Oryctolagus cuniculus: one gene and its partner. The protein of the gene in region 1 binds, or shares a complex with, the protein of each later gene. Links are inferred from orthologs where the notes say so. Each region holds a gene or a part of one and is shown in the gene's direction. Other genes may lie near its edges. The genes, in order: CDK6 and cyclin-dependent kinase inhibitor 2A.

Evidence for each region.
Region 2: the proteins of CDK6 (region 1) and cyclin-dependent kinase inhibitor 2A are in contact, whole or in part, in a crystal structure (PDB 1BI7), measured with the Homo sapiens proteins. The link is inferred for Oryctolagus cuniculus from reciprocal best matches to the Homo sapiens genes CDK6 and CDKN2A. Residues at the interface, in NP_001138778.1 of Homo sapiens: Glu14, Cys15, Val16, Ala17, Glu18, Ile19, Phe28, Lys29, Arg31, Leu33, Asn35, Gly36, Gly37, Arg38, Phe39, Arg44, His100, Asp102, Gln103, Asp104, Thr106, Thr107, Asp110, Lys111, Gln149, Thr154, Ser155, Leu166, Ala167, Arg168; in NP_000068.1 of Homo sapiens: Thr18, Ala21, Arg22, Gly23, Arg24, Glu27, Asn42, Tyr44, Arg46, Gln50, Val51, Met52, Met53, Met54, Gly55, Ser56, Arg58, Asp74, Ala76, Thr77, Thr79, Asp84, Arg87, Glu88, Gly89, Phe90, Asp92, Asp108, Trp110, His123.

Annotation. Positions count from the first base shown.
Region 1 is NC_091447.1:43,169,261-43,173,079, forward strand, and holds part of CDK6 (cyclin-dependent kinase 6), read left to right. Parts: intron 1-1,491; coding exon 1,492-1,627; intron 1,628-3,819. UniProt on the Homo sapiens protein: Serine/threonine-protein kinase involved in the control of the cell cycle and differentiation; promotes G1/S transition. Phosphorylates pRB/RB1 and NPM1.
Region 2 is NC_091432.1:185,035,124-185,038,213, reverse strand, and holds part of cyclin-dependent kinase inhibitor 2A, read left to right. Parts: intron 1-2,160; coding exon 2,161-2,455; intron 2,456-3,090. UniProt on the Homo sapiens protein: Acts as a negative regulator of the proliferation of normal cells by interacting strongly with CDK4 and CDK6. This inhibits their ability to interact with cyclins D and to phosphorylate the retinoblastoma protein.

The DNA of each region.
Region 1 (3,819 bases):
GCAGAGGCACAGTCGCAGTGTCCTGCCCCAGCCCCCAGTGACAGGTGCACTTAGGACAGAGGCATCTGCTGTTCCCGAGTGAAGTCTGACCTGGGCTCTCTGGGGGTAAAGGAACGGGAAACAGAGCTGTGGAAACCCCGTGACAGTTGCACCAGGACCTCCTGAAACCTGGAACTACGTTCAGGACAGCACTCTCTCCAGGCCCTCAGTCCTCGTGAGTGCCGTCCAAGGAGAAGAATGTGCCGTACGCCAGCACCCTTGCTTTCCCACGGTTCCGAGAAGTCTCCTCCAGCGTTGGACTAGCTGTGCCTCTTGTCCACCACACTGAATTTTTCTTTTATTCAGAGTTATCCGGAGTCTGAGATACAGATTCTTGCATCACCTGATTTTCCTTGCTCAAACCCACTTACCCAGCCATGTATCCATTTTAAATCATGTCTATGTATTGTATACATTGTGCAGGGCCACCAGCTTACTAATGTGTCCGAAGAACCTGAAGTTACACATAAGCAGAATTGAAGCAGTTCATGTTTTCAGTGTAGTGGTGATATACTTCCTCTGCATTTTGGATTAACAGGATGATTTTCTGATTGTGATCATAATGGATAATGAATGGATATTGACTGTGTTGGAAACTGTGCTATGCAGCTTATGTAAATTATCGCTGATCCTCATAACAGCCATCAGTTGTTGCCATTGTCATAAAGATACTAAGAATCATAGGTGCTAAGGCATGTGTCCTTACCTGCCAGTAAGAATGCAACCCACATCTGCCTATTTCCAAAATCTGTGTTGTCTTTCACTTGCTGTTCTCTGCAGCTTTCTGATCCCAGAAAAGTTTTCAGGGGGAACATGAATAGTAGTCTTTTTAATTTGTTTTTCAGAATGCCATATACTTTCCCTTATAAAATAATCTGTGCCTAAGACTAATGTATCTTTTAGCCTCATTTTTGTTGTTGGATTCTAATATATGTAGTTACTCTGTGGAGAAGCACTCTTTGGTCAGAAATGCAACCCAGTCGATGTGTTGATAAGCCGTGTTGAATGAGCATCATAGAAGCATGTCAGGGCTGGAGTGTCCCATCAGGATGCAACACTCCTGGGCATAAAGCCACACACACACACACACACACACACACACACACCCCGGCAGGTCTCCTCTGAACATAGTAAGTCCCGTGTTGAGGCCTACACACAAGTAATGCACTCTTCCATTTCTCCATCATCTTTTACATCTGGTGTCAGCTGCGAAAATAATCTCTCGTCACTGCCCAGTGGAGTTAACAGTCCTGGGAGCTTCCCCGGTAGCATGTGACCTGCCCTGTTGCAGTAGGACAGAGGCGAAGGAGAGAGCCTGGCTCACCACGTGAAGGTTTCCTGGGCTCCTGCGCCCTCCTGCCTGGCCCTCAGAGCCGGCTGTCCTCTAGCATTCCCTGAGGGAAGAGCTTTGGCAGTGCCCAGTGCTCACGTGCACCTGTGGTTCTTTCCTAGCGTCATTGGACTCCCAGGAGAAGAGGACTGGCCCAGAGATGTTGCCCTTCCCAGGCAAGCGTTTCATTCCAAATCTGCCCAGCCGATTGAGAAGTTCGTAACAGATATCGATGAACTAGGCAAAGACCTGCTTCTGGTAAGTTCGCCCTGTGCTGATAAGACGCCTGCCCTGTCCAGGCTGTGTGGCAGCAGGAGGACCCGTGCAGCGACTGCTGCAGCCATCACCTGCATCGCCACAAGAGCCCAGGGCTGCAGTCCCCCTATAAGTTCCCTTCCCGCACCTGGAGCTACTAGTGGCTGTCGATCCCGGGACATCTTTCCAATCCACACTCTTGAAAGCCACCGCCTTTGAACTTGTGTTTGGGAGCGGCCTTTCTAAGGCTGTGGGCTCACTTGGATATGTGCTTCTTTACCAAAGTCCCGCGTCCTTTGATGTCTCCTGGTTTACAGTTTCGTGCTACCTTTAGCAATTTGGGAGTCATTTGGGGTGCCTTTCCTTAAATAGTCACATGCTTAGGAAAATGATTTTCCAAAGGAACTACCGAGTATGCTTATCAGTGATTGAAGTGTTTATTAAGTGATTTCCTATAGCTGGAGGTCAGAACAGTAGGTGGAGGAGCTCACCTGCCGGGCTGCTCTTGGTGCCTGGAGCCCGGTAAGCAGTCATCAGCAGGTTTTGATGCCTGCGTCAGCCTGTGGGTCAAGTGCCGTCTTCTCCGCGTGTCCCATTCTGGGGCCCAGGACGGAGATCAGACTCGGAAGGTAGAGGCAGCCAGCAGGGCAAGCAGAAGCACGGGATGCCCCTGAGAGCCAAGGCCTGGGAAGAAGCACCCTGCCTCTGTCCACGTCCCATTGGCCAGGGCCAACCTGAATGGAGGAAAGAATGCGTATGTGTACATACACATGCATGGAGGGGGAGGGGAGAGAAGAAGGAGAATATGTGGTTACAAAAAAAGTTACGCACTCAATCTATCCTAATAGTCAACTCTTGACTCACATATGATTCCAAAAGCTCATTTTTTAAAGAATTATTTCATTTATTTGAAAGAGTTACACAGAGAGAGGAGAGACAGAGAGAGGTATTCCATTCTGCAGGCTCACTCCCCAAATGACCGCAATGGCCAGAGCTGTGCCAATCCGAAGCCAGGAGCCAGGAGCTTCTTCCAGGTCTCCCACGTGGGTGCAGGGGCCCAAGGACTTGGGCCATCTTTCACTGCTTTCCCAGGCCACAGCAGAGAGCTGGATCAAAAGAGGAGCAGATGGGACTCAAACCGGCACTCATATGGGATGCCGGCGCTTCAGGCCAGCGCGTTAATCCGCTGAGCCACAGCATCAGCTCCCCCCCCTCCCCAAAAGCTCATTTTATAAGTCAGTTAAGAAACTGGGAAGTAAATTAAATTGAACAATATTACTACACAATTTAAAGAGCCTCCTTCTTCCTCAAGCAGAGCAGCAATAGGAGGTCACTGCCTTTGCTAACAGTATCTCCATAGGACAAAGTGCAGCAGGGCTTCCCAGCTGGCTGGAGTCCTCCCTCTCTCCACCCTCTTCCCTGCACCCAGCCCTCAGAGGGGCTGTGGGGAAAGGGCTTGCAGGCAACCCTCCAGGAACACCTCCCTGTGTCCGGATCACATCCCACGATTCTTCTCTCTTTGCTGTGTCCTGCCTTTTCTAACAGCACTGCCTGATTTTCTATTTCTTAGATTCTGGAAAGACAGAACTCAGGCTCCAGCATGTTGCCCCAGGGTAGGTGTTGTGGTGCAGCCAGTTAAGCCTTATCATGGGCTGCCTGCGTCCCCTGTTGCAGTGCCTGGAATCACGTCCGCCTCCACTTCCCATCCAGCTCCCAGGAGTGCACCTTGGAGGCAGCAGATCATGGCTGTCTCTGGAACCCATAGAGGAAACCTGGATGGAGTTCCTGGCTCCTGGTTCAGGCCTGGCCTAGCTCTGACTGTTGTAGGCATTTAGGAAGTGAACTAGCAGATGGATGTTGTCTCTTACCCCCTTTTCTCTCTCACTCTTATTCTCTCTTGCTTTCTCGCTCTCTTGCTCACTCGCTCTCGCTCTCTCTCAAATAAATAAAAATTACTAACTAGGTGCCAGCATTGTGGTACAGTGGTACACCACTTGAAACTCTGGCATCTTGTATCAAGGGACCGATTCAAGTCCTATCAACTCCTAGCTGATGATGGCCCAAGTAGTTGGGTTCCTGCCATACACATAGGAGACCTGGGTAGAGTTTTGAGCTCCTGGCTTGGGCCTGGACCAGTCCCAGTCATTGCAGCCATTTGGGGAATGGACCAACAGACAGGAGATATTCTCTCCATG
Region 2 (3,090 bases), on another chromosome or scaffold:
CTCAGAAATAGCACACTATTAATGGGCATAGTTGTGAAGTGAAAATGGCCTCTTTTAAACAAGAGGTGCAGTCTGCCGCTGGATCACCAAGTGGCTGTGGACATGAATCTGACAACTTTATGGGTTGGGGAAGAACCTTTGGAGGTGGTGGAGATAATTTTGGCCATGGTGAGACTTTGTTGGAGGACGAGACTATGGTTGTGGAGGTGGCAGCGGCAGAGGAAGTTATAGAGGAGGTGACCATAGATATAATAGTTTTAGAGGTGATGGTAGCAACTAGGGCTATAGTCCTTGCTATGGTAGCAGAGGAGGCTATGATGGTAGTGGCCCAGGATATGGAAAGCAAGGTGGTGGATAGGGTGAAGGAGGAGGATATGATGGTTACAATGAAGGAGGAAATTTTGGAGGTTCTAACTATGGTGGTGGTGATTGCTACAATGATGTTCGAATTTAGAATGAACAACAGCAATCAAATTATGGACCCATGAAAGGGGGTGGTTCTTATGGTGGAAAGGTTATGGATTTGGTGGTTGAAGAGATGGATAAGATAGCAGAAGTTTCTAAAAATGCAGGGGGGAAAAAAAGCAGAAAATGGCTACAATTCTTAGCAGGGAAAGAACAAGCAAGGAGTTGTCAAAAAGTTCCAGGATTCTTTGAGACATTCATCCCAAGTGTGAAAATCTGCCACAGAAAAAATGATGATTCATAGTCCAAAAATGTTACTGCACCTTAAACAGGAAACCCTTCTTGTTCAGGATTGTCATAGATACAGTTTGCAAAAAAGTGCAGTTATTGATTAATGCAATGTAGTGTCAACTAGATGTACATTCCTGAAGTCTTTTATTTGTTGTAGTTTTGTCTTTTCACTACATCAGCTATATTGCCCTGTAAACTGTAGCAGTGGTACCAGGAGTGAAAAATTAAGGACGTTTTAACTTTAACAAAAGAAGTGTTTTCCTTTCCTACTGCTGTAACTAATCATCACAACCGGTGACTAAAGCAAAACCAAAATTATTATTTTATAGTCGTGGAGATGAAGATTCCAAGTTGGGTCCACAGGCATTGTGTGGGAAGCTCTAGGGAGGGATCTGTTTCTTTGCCTTTTCTACCTTCTAGTGGCTCTTGGCTTGAAGCCCCTGTGTCTTCTCTCTGACCTCTGCATCCATGCTTATTTCTTTTATGAGAATATTGTGATTTCATTGGGTCCACCTTGATAATTCAGGATACCCCTCAAGGTCCTTAATTTAAGTAGGGCAACTATAGATAATCATAATGTACTGTATGTTTCTCTAAAAAATAAAAGAGCATGAAATAAAGGATGTTTAATGTTTTCACCATAGAGAAATATTAAATGTATTTGGAGATACGTTTACATGGATCAGATATTACGCAGTGAATTCATGTATAGAAACATCATGCCACATAATACACAGTATTTTAATGTGTCAGTTAACATTAAGAACATCATCATATGGTGCCAAATAAATATGCACGATTAGGTGTCAGTTAAGTTTTAAAGAATTCCTTAATTTAATCATATCTGTGAAGTCTCTTTTGCCACATAAGGTAACATATTCACAGCTTCTAAGAATTGGGACCTTGACATTGTGAGGACCTTATGCCACTTACCACAGGAAATGAGTTTTAACACTCAAGGAAGATAAATAGGTATATTTATCTTATATATACTATAAATATATATAAATATATATTTTGTTACATAAATATAACAAAAGATTTTTTTCAGGAAGCATGGTGCTTTGTTGGCTTTTAAAAATTAACATGTCTTGGTTTGGATATATAGTAATGAACTAAGCAAAGTCTCCATGCCTTCACATGGTTTCATTTCCAAATGAGAGGGAAAATACAGGCAGTCAGACCACCGTAGTAAAAGGCAGTTTGTCCCTCACTGTTTTTCGCTTTGACTGTCTGATAGTGTTCTGCTTGTGGCCAGAGCTCCGCAAAAAGTTGGAGAATACGATGCAATCCAGTGTGTACTGAAAATGGGATGGGTGGGAGAACTGGAGAAGGGTGTTGGTGACTGGAAGCCAATGAACGACAATTATACACCGTGCCTGGCATTGGTGTCTGCCTAGGAAGGGATACTTCATAAAGTCCTGATCCATACACTAGCCCTGACCGCTCTTCCCTCTCGCGCAGGTCATGATGATGGGCAGCGCCCGCGTGGCCGAGCTGCTGCTGCTCCACGGCGCCGAGCCCAACTGCGCCGACCCCGCCACCCTCAGCCGACCGGTGCACGACGCCGCCCGGGAGGGCTTCTTGGACACGCTGGTGGCGCTGCACCGGGCCGGGGCGCGGCTGGACGTGCGCGACGCCGGGGGCCGCCTGCCCGTGGACCTGGCTGAGGAGCGGGGCCACCACGACGTCGCTCGGTACCTGCGCGCCGCCGAAGGCGGTAACCACGCCCGCGCAAGGGCCGTGGAAGGTACCGCAGGTGAGGACGGATGATGCCAGAATTCCAACACAGAGCTCCGGAAGCTCAGTGCGCTTGTTTTCAAGAAGGCAAAGTTGAGCACGGGAAAGCAGGGTCTGGGCTCTCAATGCGGCTCACAGAGCCTAAGGCCCGGGAAAACCCGAGTCTTGCCAACTCGCAGCCTAGTCAGAGCCGCAGTCTGCGGAATCTGGGTTCGTGAAAGCCCGTCCCACACCCCGTCCTGCCTCTGCCACCGCTCAAATCCCCCCCCAACCCCCACCCACGCAGCTCAAGGCTAAACAAGACCTTGGAGGCTAGAGGTCCAGCTAGCGCCCCGGCTTCCTCCTGCAGGCTAGCTAGTGAGCCGCATCCCCTCTCCCGGGTCTCAGGTTCGGCGTTCGCATAAATACATCACGGGACCAACCGCTGGATTTCCAAAACCGGTTCTGCAGGGTGTCTGCGTGAAATCCGTCATTCTCAGCTCAGTTGCAAGATTTTACTAAATGCGACCCTCCGCTTTATGCGGTGGAGAGGTGCAGCTTTCCACAACTCCGCAAGGCAATTTTAGGGCCTGTGGGATGGCGACGTCCAAATCTGCACATTCGGATTTGCTGCACACTATGGGAGGGAGACGGAGCTCTCCTCTTGCCCCTGTT